Lonchura striata: one gene and its partners. The protein of the gene in region 1 purifies or fractionates together with the protein of each later gene. This does not show direct contact. Links are inferred from orthologs where the notes say so. Each region holds a gene or a part of one and is shown on either strand. Other genes may lie near its edges. The genes, in order: SRPK2, C1H1orf35 and DDX46.

Region 1 (3,745 bases):
AAGTTTTCCTAAGAACCACAGTTAAGAAAAAAAAACAACTGCTTTGGATTCAAGGCTAAGTCACAATTTTCCTGTAGTGAACAAGTTCACTACAGGGAACTTACTCCACCCCTCAAATAAGCATTTTCATTTGCAGATACTGTGCATTTGATGTGCATCACAGGTACCATATACCTCTAAACTACTAGAATATGCTGTAGCAGTTGAATTTGAAGTAAGACCAGGAAGAGGACAAAAGAGACACTGGTTTTACTTTGGGAGCCTCAAATATTTGCAAGGAGACTTAAAAACTTGATAGGAGTTTCGCTTTCATACACAAGCATGAAACAAAGTAGGTTGTCTCCAGAGCATAGAAGTGGTTTGAAGAGACAACATACATATCAGAAGAGAAAAGATGGCTCTTGTCAACTACAGCAAAACCACTTGTTTCATAAGGCAACTGATCGGATTGGAGCATTGCGTCTGGAAATGCCAACTCAGCCAGGCAAATGGCCAGATCCTGACTGTGCACCCCGACTTAACAGTAGCCAGTTTCTTCAGCAAACACAAAGACTACCAGTTCTGCACTTATTGTCTGTGAAAGCAAACTTTTAACAAACTCATTCAGCAAAACATCCCACTTAGGTCCCCTAAAAAGTGTATTAAATGCTCTATCACCTAATAATAGAAGTTTATTAACAACCTTGTGGTTAAGACTTAACTGAAAGCTTCAAAAATAACACTGAACCTAGAGCTACAATGAAATTTAACCTATTTCCATGTTCAATCCAGCAAAAGACAAATGCACGTAACATTACAATCTGAAGGTTTTTGAAAACAAGGGAATCAATTCCTGCATATCTTACACATAACATTTGTTGCCATTGCAGTAACTCCAAATTCAAACAACTGAAAGCATAATACAGCTTTTACACAATGCTGGAGGAAACACCACTAGTGGAACAGGATGTGAACAAAGTTAGGTGTCGAAGTCTAATCGCACTACACCAGCACCTCCACCTCATCTATTTTTACCCATCCTAAAGGGGAGAATAGCACCCATTCATTGTAACTAGCAAAAAAAAAAAAGGCAAATCAAATACTTCACAGTCAGAGATATATTATTTCTTCCAGCAGACATCACAAAAAGACCTTGCCTCTTGAATCATTTGCCATAGCACACAACAGCATGTCCCCCCACCACATATCTATCCATCCATCCATCCACCATGCACTGCTTCCCAGCTCTAAGAACAGCCAGCTAGGAAGAGAGGGAATTGAGTGACATCAGGACGTATTTCCTTGTCAGAACAAAGCAGGTAGACTGGATCCCTAAGTAATGAAAACAAAGACAAGAGCCTACTGGCAACTTAACGAGTCACCAATAAAGTCCACTGAACAAAACAAGTGAACGTTAGTAACAGAAGCATGGAATCCTTCAAGGACAAAAAATTAAACAGTCCAAAGCCACACTGTCCTAGGAAATACTAAGGTGTAATAAACACTAAAGAGATGGAAGAATGTTCCCATGTGGTTCAGTGAAAAGTATAATGAGAAAAGATCAACTAGACAGTGACAAGAACATGAAGGGCTTGCAGAAGACAAGGGGAAAACAGAGAACAACCTCTGTTCTTATATCTGTAGAATTAACAGAAACTTAAAACAAGCCAAAGAGATACCAGTATCAGCATCGTTGGCTATTAGACACATCTGGGAAAGGGAAATAGTCTGATGGTACCGAGAAGGATGCAAAAAGGACTGCCTGTAGATGGGACAGCGATACAGAAAGAAACCTCGGAATAGACAGCACTGGAAAAGGAGATCAAAAAGATGAGAGAACTGGAGGGAGAACGAAGAGGAACACGTGGGCTGGCAGATCCCCGACAAACCGGGGGTTTCTCAGGGCCGGCGGCCGGAGTGCCGGGCGCGGGTTCCCACGGGGCACCGGCAGCCCTGCCCGAAGGATGCTGAGCCCGGCGCCCGGGCAGGGGACGGTCCCCGCCCGGCCGTGGCGACATCCCCCGGCCCGGGCGGGGGCTGTGCCCTGCGGGGGAGCCGCCGGTGCCCCGCGGGCGGCGGGACCGGGCAGCCGGGACGGCCCGCGGGGGCCACGGGCGCCGGCAGCGACGCGCAGACAACGGAGGGGTCGCGGGGAGAGGCTCCGTCCCGGCGGGTCGGGGGTCCCCGTACTCACTTTTTGTGGGGCGCCGAGTGCTTGTCCCTCCGGCCAGCCGCCGCGGACTGCTTGGGCCGCCGCCTGCGGGCCTGCAGGGCCAGCACTGCCGGGAGAAGAGAATAGCCGGGACCCGGCGTGAGCAGCGGCGGCGGCGGCGGCCGCGCAGCCCCCCGCTCCCGCCCTCCCGCCCGGCACAGCGCGGTACCTTTGCGCGAGTTCATCGCCCCGCGCCGCGCGCTGCTCGGCGGGCGCGCCGCTGCCCGGCCCCGCGCCCGGCCCCGCGTCCGGCTCCTCTCCCGGCCCCGCCGCCAGCCGCGACCGCGCGCCGGGCACCGTCCGGCAGCATCGGCACCGCCACCGCCGCCCCGCGCCGCCGCCGCTGCGCAGGCGCGGGCGAGCCGCGGGGCCGCGGCCGGAAAGGCGCGGGCGGGGCGGGGCGGGGCGCGGCAGGTGGCGGCGGGCGGGCGCACCTGAGGCGGGACGGCCCCGCCTGAGGCGGGAGCGGCCCCGCGGCCGACGTGGGGCTTTGTCGGGCGGTCGAGCCAAAGGGGAATTAATTTTGCCAAGTTTTGGGTCGTGACCGGAGTAGCGGGGCCATCCGCCCTGTTGCCGTGCCGCATTGGGAGCTGCGGGAAGGGCAGAGGAGAGAGGAGTCGGGCTCTCCACGGCAGCAGCTGGGACGAGATCAGCTTTAGCTTGTCCCGAAACCTGTGTGGGGTGAGATGCCAGAACCAATTATCGTCGTGGCCAAATCCAGGGAAATTAGATTTCCTTAATTCTGATTCTCACTAAGTTGTTTGATTATCATGACGAACAACTCTTGGCAATTGTTTTTTTTCCTGCCAAGGGCATCTTGTTGCCCATGGTACCAGGCACTGCTCAGATTTGGCATAGTAATGACCCGTCAATGGCCCAGTGAACACCGTCCCTTCTTACTTCAGCTGTGCACAGCATAGCTCAGTGCTTGACAGTGTTATGACTGAAATCTTGTGCCATCTATACCTTAATGCCTGGGGCCCGCTATGATCTGGGTCATATCCAAAGCTCCAGTCTAAGAGTGAGGCTTGTCTGGCTTATCTTCACATGGCAGTGGAATTCCAAGGCATGGTAACTGAAAGGTAACGGGGTATGGTCATTAAATTTTGAGACAGAACTGCCTCCCTAAGTGGCAACACAAGGAATCCGTAAGGATGAAGATCCTAAAAGCAGCTATAGTCAAGGCATTATGAGAGTGAAGGGAACTAGCAGTAATTGCTGGTCTTTAAGTAATTGGATCGAGATTTCATTTAGACAGAAAATTGAATCCGTAGGTCTGGTTAGTTCAGCTTAGGAGGGAGAGAGCCACAGAAGCATAAAGCTAGACAGCCCAAAAAGGAGGCACTACACTGTATAATGCTTTTTTGTCTAACTAGAGAGCCTGGTGAACAGAAAACAATAGGACCATGAAGTTTCTAAACTGCAGCTCTCATGAGGCACCCAGCTGCATTTCTAAATTAAAACATTTTCTGTGTCCCATCCTCCATCATAAAAGAACACAGGAAATAAACATTTTTAGTATAAACTGCTACCAGCAATATGCACTACTGGTCG
Region 2 (3,745 bases), on another chromosome or scaffold:
ATGCCTGGTCCCAGGGCTTCACACCGTGTCCCTGGGATCTCGCACTGTGTCCCAAGGGGTCATGCCTGCTCCCAGAGCTCCAGGCTGTGTCCCTGGAGTCTCACATTGTGTCCCAGGGGGTCACACCCTGTCCCTGGGATCTCACACCGTGTCCCAGGGGTCATACCCAGTCCCAGGGCTCCATGCCGTGTCCCAAGGGGTCATGTCCCGTCCCTGGGATCTCACACTGTGTTCCTGGGGTCATACCCTGTCCCAGGGCTCCACACCATGTCCCTGGGGAATCTCACACCGTGTCCCAGGGGTCATGCCTGCTCCCAGGGCTCCACACCGTGTCCCTGGGATCTCACACTGTCCCTAGGGAATCTCACACCATGTCCCAGGGGTCATGCCTGCTCCCAGGGCTCCACACCATGTCCCTAGGGAATCTCACACCGTGTCCCAAGGGGTCATGCCCGGTCCCAGGGCTCCATGCCGTGTCCCTGGGATCTCACGCCACGTCCTAGAGGTGTCACACACTGTGTCCCCGTGGTCTCGCCCCATGTCCCCCGTGTCCCCAGATGCCCCTGGACAGCAACACGCTGCCCGAAGCCGAGCGCAAGGCTCGTCTGCGCCGCCACTTCCCCAGCAAGCCTAAGGCCAAGCAGGAGGAAACCTTCGAGGGCATCGACCTGGACACCTACAAGAAGTTCTGGAAGAAGTGAAGCGCTGAACCCAGAATTGTATCAATCTATAAATAAAACCACACAGTAATAAAATGAAAACACAGCCGTGTGTGGGCGGTGCGGCTCTGCGGGGCTCCCCCCGCGCTGGGCCGCGCGGTGGTACGGCCCGTCGGCCCCCCCGCGGCCGTGCCCGCGGTGGTAGCGGCGGGGCGGGCCGCGCGCGGCGGCCGGAGGTGCGTGAGGGGAGCGCGGTGCGGTTCGGGAGATTCGGGATTTGGGGGAGTTTTGGGATTTGGGGGCTCCGTGTGTGAGCCTGCGGGTCCGGCACTCCCGGTCCTCGCACTGCCCAGCCCGGAGAGGCGCGGGCTGCAGGGAGCCGCCCCGAGCTGCCTCCGCACGCCTCGGGGACGGGCAAGTTCCCACTTCAGGCCCTGCAGCGTCCAGGTCCTGCAGCTTCCCCCGGCCCTGAACCCCTTCCCAGCCCCGGAAACTCTGCCCCAGGTAATGTCCCAGCCCGGGCCCTGCAGCCTCTTCTCGGGATGTGCAACCTCTCATGCAGGCCATCGCCCCTTCTCCCAGCTCTGACCCATCCAGGCTCTGATCCCTCTCCCAGCTCTCATCCCCTCCAGGCCATCGCCCCCTCTCCCAGCTCTCATCCCATCCAGGCCATCACCCCCTCTCCCGGCTCTGATCCCATCCAGGCTCTGACCCCTTCTCCCAGCTCTCATCCCACCCAGAGCATCACCCTCTCTTCCACCTCTCATCCCCTCCAGGCCGTCGCCCCCTCTCCGAACTCTCATCCCACCCAGGGCATCACACCCTCTCCCAGCTCTGATCCCATCCAGGCTCTGATCCCCTCTCCCAGCACTCATCCCATCCAGGCCATCACCTCCTCGCCCACCTCTCATCCCACCCAGGGCATCACCCCCTCTCCCAGCTCTGATCCCATCCAGGCCGTGACCCCTTCTCCCAGGACTCATCCCATTCAGGCCATCACCTCCTCTCCCACCTCTCATCCCATCCAGGGTATCACCCCCTCTCCCAGCTCTCATCCCACCCAGGCAGGCTGTGACCCCCTCTTCCACCTCTCATCCCATCCAGGCTGTGACCCCCCTCTCCCAGCTCTGATCCCATCCAGGCTGTGACCCTTTCCTAGACCCTGAACCCCCCATCCAGCCCATGAACCCTCCCCCTTGACGCCCAGAATCCCCATGAGGGCATTAAACTTCTCCACTAGCCCTGCAGCCTCCTCCCAGACCCAGAGCCTTCCCACTTACAGTCCTGAACTCTCCTCCTGCAGGCTGAGCCCCCGAGCTCTGCAAGCAGACCCTGAAACCCCCAGGCTGTGACTGCCCCGCTGCCGGCCCTAAACCCTGCTGGAGGCTCTGAACCTCACCCAAACTCTGAACCCCCCAAGGCCACGGACCCCCTTGGGGCTGCTCTGAGCCCCAGCAACCTCCCCCAGGCTGGGACCCTCCCCAAGCCGTGCACCCCCTCCCACCTCCAGGTTATGAACCCCCTTTCCAGCCTGTAACACCCCACACCTTTGTGTAACCCCCTTTGCTTACTCCACTGACCCCTGGGGGGGCTGAATTTGCTTCCCTGCACCTTCAGGAGCCCCCCCAGAGCTGCATGGGGGATCTGAAGTGGATGAAGGCAGGGCTGATCTCTTTGCAGGTCACCGGGATCCCCCGAATCCGCTGCGGGGTGCGGCGCCATGTTCGGCTCCTCCCGGGGCGGGGTCCGGGGGGGCCAGGACCAGTTCAGCTGGGAGGATGTCAAGACAGACAAACAGCGTGAGAATTACCTGGGTAAGGGCTGATACTGCCCCAATCCCTGTCCCCTCTGCCACGGTTTTGGGGTGCGATGATGCTGACTGGGGGGGGGTCATTGTTCCCCACAGGGAACTCCCTGATGGCGCCGGTGGGGCGGTGGCAGAAGGGCAAGGACCTGACCTGGTATGCCAAGGGCAAGAAGGACACGGGCCCCCCGTTATCCCGGGAGGAAGAGCTGGCTGCCGTCCGCCTGGCTGAGCAGGAGGCCATGATGGCAGCACTGTGAGTCCACACCCCACAAAACCCCAAAAAACAGCAGGTGCCTGTCCCCACACGTATCACCTGTTCTTGGTTTTACAGGGGCTACAAGAGCTTGAAGAGGCAGCCCATGGGCCTCAGCAAAGAGGTAAGAGGGGCACCACACATCCCCCCAGTGTCCCCTGGGCTCTAATTTTGGGGACACACACAGGACACTGTCCCCTCTCCCCACAGGACCTGGCTGAGGTGTGCAAGAGGGACGGTGCCGAGCGGGACGAGAAGGACGTGGATCGGGTGGTGGGTTTGGGCAGCTCCAGGTAAGGAGAGAGGGAAGGGTCCCACACCAATTTCAGAACCATTTGTTGGATTTCAGTGTTTTTATGCTTTTATCTGTGGTGTCTCTGCAGTGGCAGCGCTGGCCGGGTGATGCTCTCCAAGGAGGACAGGGAGGCGGCCAAGCTGGGGCTCTCGGTCTTCACGGTACGGTGCCAGTCACATTGTCCTTGGAAGGTTCAAAAATAGATTGGAAAAAGGCAAAAAGCAGTGCCCCTCACTTGGAATATTTTATTTAAAATATTACCTGGGTATTGTAGCACAGAAACCTGCAGGAGTTTCCTCTGTCCTGTTGGCACAGAGATCATCTGTGGGGCTTTAATTTGGAAGAAGCTCTTAAGGGTATTCTAATTTTTCCCCAAATGTAATTTCAATTTTTTTTTCCAAGCTTAATTTTTAAAGGGAGAAAAACCCTTTCTCTTATAATTACAAGCTGTGGGCTCATGGATTCACTCTGTATTTTTCCCCCTCTCCAATTCTAGCACCAGAAAGTCTCCAGCAGCCCAGAGACATCTGTCTCCAAGAAGCAGGAAAAGGAGGAGAAGGTGGAGGAGGAGCGGTGAGGATTTTTCCCACTTTGGTGGGAAACCACCAGAAATGCCCTGACTTTTATAGGAAATATTTTACAAAATGTTTCCATGGCTCTGTTTGGCACTGGGCTTGTTTTGCATCTCTATGAATCAGCCTGAAAAGCCTCTGTGGGCTTCTCTTTGGCAG
Region 3 (3,745 bases), on another chromosome or scaffold:
GAATTTTGCACAGTGAGAGGAAGTGTCATTCCAAATAGTCAATTTAAACACTGATAATCTCTGAAAATCTCTGTTGAAGCGAAATTTGGTAGTGTTTTCAGCTTGTAGTTTTCTTTTTAAAGTCTGGACTTTCAGGTAGTATAGGCTGTTGCCTATTTTTAGCATAGTAAACTACATATTTAACTTGGTATTTGCCTGCAGAGGTTCTTTTAGGGCGCAGATGTGTTTAATTGTATCTCTCTAAATGGCCCAGCTTTCAGTTGATTATTTTTTGTTAAAGCTTCCTCCTGCAATTTTAGTGATGCTTTCTTGACTTTTAAATTAGAGACATGTTTGTGGCCTGAATACAAGAACCTTATGTTTTGATTTGACCATTTTCATGGGGTTTTTTTAAACTGGTTCTGTTATGGTGAGTATTATATTACAGATATAAAGGGCTGGGTTGCAGAAAATTCTGACTTAGGTTTTTCAGCAAAGGTATTGATTCAGCAACTTTAAATTTATTTATATTAGATAGTAATTTCAGAAAACTGAAATTACAGTAATTTAAGATAAAGTTGAGATACATAAATAATGAGTTTACTTAAAAATTACTTGTTCTGATTCTCTATTTATATGCCCAAATGTAATACAAATAAATTGGAAAAATCCCTACACCAGTACCTGTAAAAAGCTATGAATTTTAATCCTCACCATAAATTTTAATCAGATAAATACCCTTGCATGGGCAGAGCACCAGGAGGGGCTTGTGCTTAATTAAGAAACCTCGATGAAGAAACGGCGATCAAGAAACGACCTTAGACCAAGAAACCAATCTCTTTTATTCCGTTTTTAACTTACCTCTGCTGGTGTTCGTAGTTGTGTTTAACGTTTATTGCCGGAGCGATTGTTTTCTATTAAAAGCCTCTCGGTTACCCGCTTCCTCGGCGCTGTGCGCGGCTGGGCCGGGGCGGCGCTGCGCCCTCCGCCCGCCGGGGGGCGCCGGCGCGGCCGGAAGGGGCGGCGCTCCCGGGGCGCGCGCCGCGCGGGCGGGGAATGGCCGCCGCGTAGCGGGAGCGCCGCCGCCATGGGCCGCGAGTCCAGGTGAGGGAGCGGCGCCGCCGCCTCGCCCGCCCGGCGGCCGCGGCGCGCTCGGGGATCGGGCGGCGCGGCGCGGGGAGGCGGCCGTGAGGGGACAACGCGGCGCGGCTTTCCCGGGCGGCGGGCGCGCTGAGGCCGCGCGGCGCTTCGGGCCTGGCTGGGTCCGAGGTGCCACCAGCACCTCCGGCCTTCACGGGTTTGTTCCAAAATGTCATCGTTGCCCACGCAGAGGGGTTAGCTTGATTTGGATGGTTTTGTTCGTGTCTTTTGTGTTTATGGAGCAGTATATTTTGCGCTCTCCCAGTGATGTAAAGCCCTGATTAGGGTTGTAACCAGCTCGGCAGTAATGTGCCCTTGTGCTGCGTGTGACTCGGGCCGAACCTGTGCTCCAGATGATGCGGAGCTGCTCACACCTACCAGGCTTTAAAGCCATTCCACAATTTGCTAGTGCTGTCGGGCATATGCCTCTGTCTCGTAGTTTAATCAGATTTTTATGCTAAAGCTGACATGATAGTCCTCACATGCAGTTCTGCTACACTCTAATAGTTCCCAGGTCCATCACGGAGATTCACCCCAAGAAAGACAGATTACTTGAAATTTTAACAACCATCTTGGGCCCAAATTAGTGATCTATTGCAGAGCTAGGCACTCCCACAAACCTATCTAAATTAGTTCCAGATGAGCTGGGGCAGCAGTGGGTGGTACAGGGCTCTGTTACAGCCTTCTGAATTGAAAACCAGGCTCTGGCACTCCAGCCAGCAGGACTCAGTTGCTTATCACAATATAGCTTCTCTTCTGAAAATGACAGAGTCCTTCTATTTGGGCTAAAAATAATGCTAAAAGTGGGTTTAAACTTGTATTAATTTTCTATTTTAACGTACAAAAAGTTTTAAAAGTGAAGAAATGGTAAGAGAGTGAGAGTGAATGGTGGGTGGAGATGGGTGCATGTGTTAGGGTTGGTGTGAGGAAATGTTCCTCACACTGGGGCTTCTGGAACTTGAAATCATCTTTTTGTCTTTATTGCACACTATAGAGGAAGAAAAAATAAAAACAAAAGTAGTTCTCTAAAACTATAAGATTAGAAAGAGAGGATTTATAGAGCAGATCCCATGCCATTTTGAGATGGAGATGGAAAATCAAACAAAAGTCTCCATGCAGAAGGATGTTCTTTGCAGTCAGTTATCCTGCTGATAGGCAGGAGGATGTGGATATGTGCTACTGTACTAACTCCAAGTGCATGTGCTGCCTAAATATACCACATAACATAGACTAGATATAAATATACTGCTATTTTTAGAGCTGAACTATTTTAATACTACCATGCAAGTGACACAAAGAGTGGGGGGCTTCAAGTCTTGTCTTCTCTGCTTCTTCCTTCTTCTCAAGCATGACTATTGGGCTTGTCAGGAGAAAGGCTCTGTGAGTCTTGAGCCACAGGAGAGTGACAAAGGAATGATTCTGGCATGGTGTCTGAAAATCTGGGATTGGAGGAAGAGGAAATGGTCACAGTCACAGTCCCTCTGTGACTTCTACATTCAGTTGAAGAGTTTCCTAGAAAATTCCTTTCCCTGCTCTGCCCCACAGTGTGGTTAGGATAAGAGCATTAATGAGAGGAGGAAAGCAGACACCCATCTCCCTCACACCCCTCAATCTTGCTGACTTTCGACAGCTTCTGTTGTGATATTTGATATTACAGAATTTCTATTAATGTCAGCATGGTAAAGGCATTGACCACAGGTGTGTTACTTCCTTGAGGGTTTATGTTTCTTTAATTCCAGTCTGACAGCTTTCCCACTGAGCAGAAGTATAGTTCACCTACCTTATATGGGTAAACATTTATTGCATAAAAAGTAACAAAGAGCAGTTTTGTTTGTCTGAAAGGTTTTGAGATAGTTTCAAAGAGCCTTCAGATTTTCCTATATATTAAATGGAAATCAGTGGATTTCTGAAAAGGAAATTGTTCTTGATGTTCTGGTGTTCTCATGTGCTTATAATAATACTCTAAAACTAAAAGAAAAATAATGAGCAAATAATCCTTCTAATTTCAGCATCATTAAGAGTGTATATGTATATTATACATACAGTATGTATATTAATCAGTTTGCCAAGATGATTGGAGAAGTTTAGACATTTAAGAAGCCCAAGAATTTCAGATAATTATTCTGCCTGCTGCACATGGTTCTGGTGCTCACTCTGACCGTGCCCGCAGGCATTACCGGAAGCGCTCTGCGTCCCGGGGGCGCTCCGGGAGCCGTTCCCGGAGCCGTTCCCCGTCGGACAAGAGGAAGCGCGAGGACAGGCGCTCCCGGAGCCGGGACCGGGACCGCAGGCGGGAGAGGTCGCGCAGCAGGGACAAGAGAAGGTCTCGCTCGCGGGACAGGAAGCGTCAAAGGTACGACGGCAGCTCCAGTCAAGGCACTAAAAGTGCCTGTCCGCTGAATATTGATGTTCTCCCACTCCAGCTAGTTACTTTGCTGATGCCTGTGGTGGATTTCACAATGCTTAAGGCTTTTTCCTTATTTAATGCTTTCTGGCTTGCTGGTGCTGGAGTTTGTAAGTTCTTAGCGGTCTTGATGGTTGGTGGGTTCCTTTTATAACCTGTTCCTCAATAGAAGCATAAAGTTATGCTCTGAGTATATCCTAAGTAAAGACAATTTTGTTGCAT

The links.
Region 2: the proteins of SRPK2 (region 1) and C1H1orf35 purify together in Homo sapiens (affinity purification with mass spectrometry; 3 studies listed by BioGRID and IntAct, with this or other methods). This does not show direct contact. The link is inferred for Lonchura striata from reciprocal best matches to the Homo sapiens genes SRPK2 and C1orf35.
Region 3: the proteins of SRPK2 (region 1) and DDX46 purify together in Homo sapiens (affinity purification with mass spectrometry; 4 studies listed by BioGRID and IntAct, with this or other methods). This does not show direct contact. The link is inferred for Lonchura striata from reciprocal best matches to the Homo sapiens genes SRPK2 and DDX46.

Annotation. Positions count from the first base shown.
Region 1 is NC_134607.1:59,975,611-59,979,355, reverse strand, and holds the start of SRPK2 (SRSF protein kinase 2), read right to left. Parts: upstream 2,392-3,745; 5' UTR 2,377-2,391; coding exon 2,361-2,376; intron 2,259-2,360; coding exon 2,174-2,258; intron 1-2,173. UniProt on the Homo sapiens protein: Serine/arginine-rich protein-specific kinase which specifically phosphorylates its substrates at serine residues located in regions rich in arginine/serine dipeptides, known as RS domains and is involved in the phosphorylation of SR splicing factors and the regulation of splicing.
Region 2 is NC_134603.1:154,855,216-154,858,960, forward strand, and holds the start of C1H1orf35 (multiple myeloma tumor-associated protein 2), read left to right. Parts: upstream 1-847; 5' UTR 848-895; intron 896-910; exon of another isoform or gene 911-1,163; intron 1,164-2,339; 5' UTR 2,340-2,379; coding exon 2,380-2,473; intron 2,474-2,565; coding exon 2,566-2,719; intron 2,720-2,797; coding exon 2,798-2,843; intron 2,844-2,929; coding exon 2,930-3,012; intron 3,013-3,102; coding exon 3,103-3,175; intron 3,176-3,510; coding exon 3,511-3,587; intron 3,588-3,745. Other genes in the region: MRPL55 (large ribosomal subunit protein mL55), read left to right, coding at 558-701.
Region 3 is NC_134617.1:9,331,953-9,335,697, reverse strand, and holds the start of DDX46 (putative ATP-dependent RNA helicase DDX46), read left to right. Parts: upstream 1-988; 5' UTR 989-1,066; coding exon 1,067-1,083; intron 1,084-3,289; coding exon 3,290-3,472; intron 3,473-3,745. UniProt on the Homo sapiens protein: Component of the 17S U2 SnRNP complex of the spliceosome, a large ribonucleoprotein complex that removes introns from transcribed pre-mRNAs.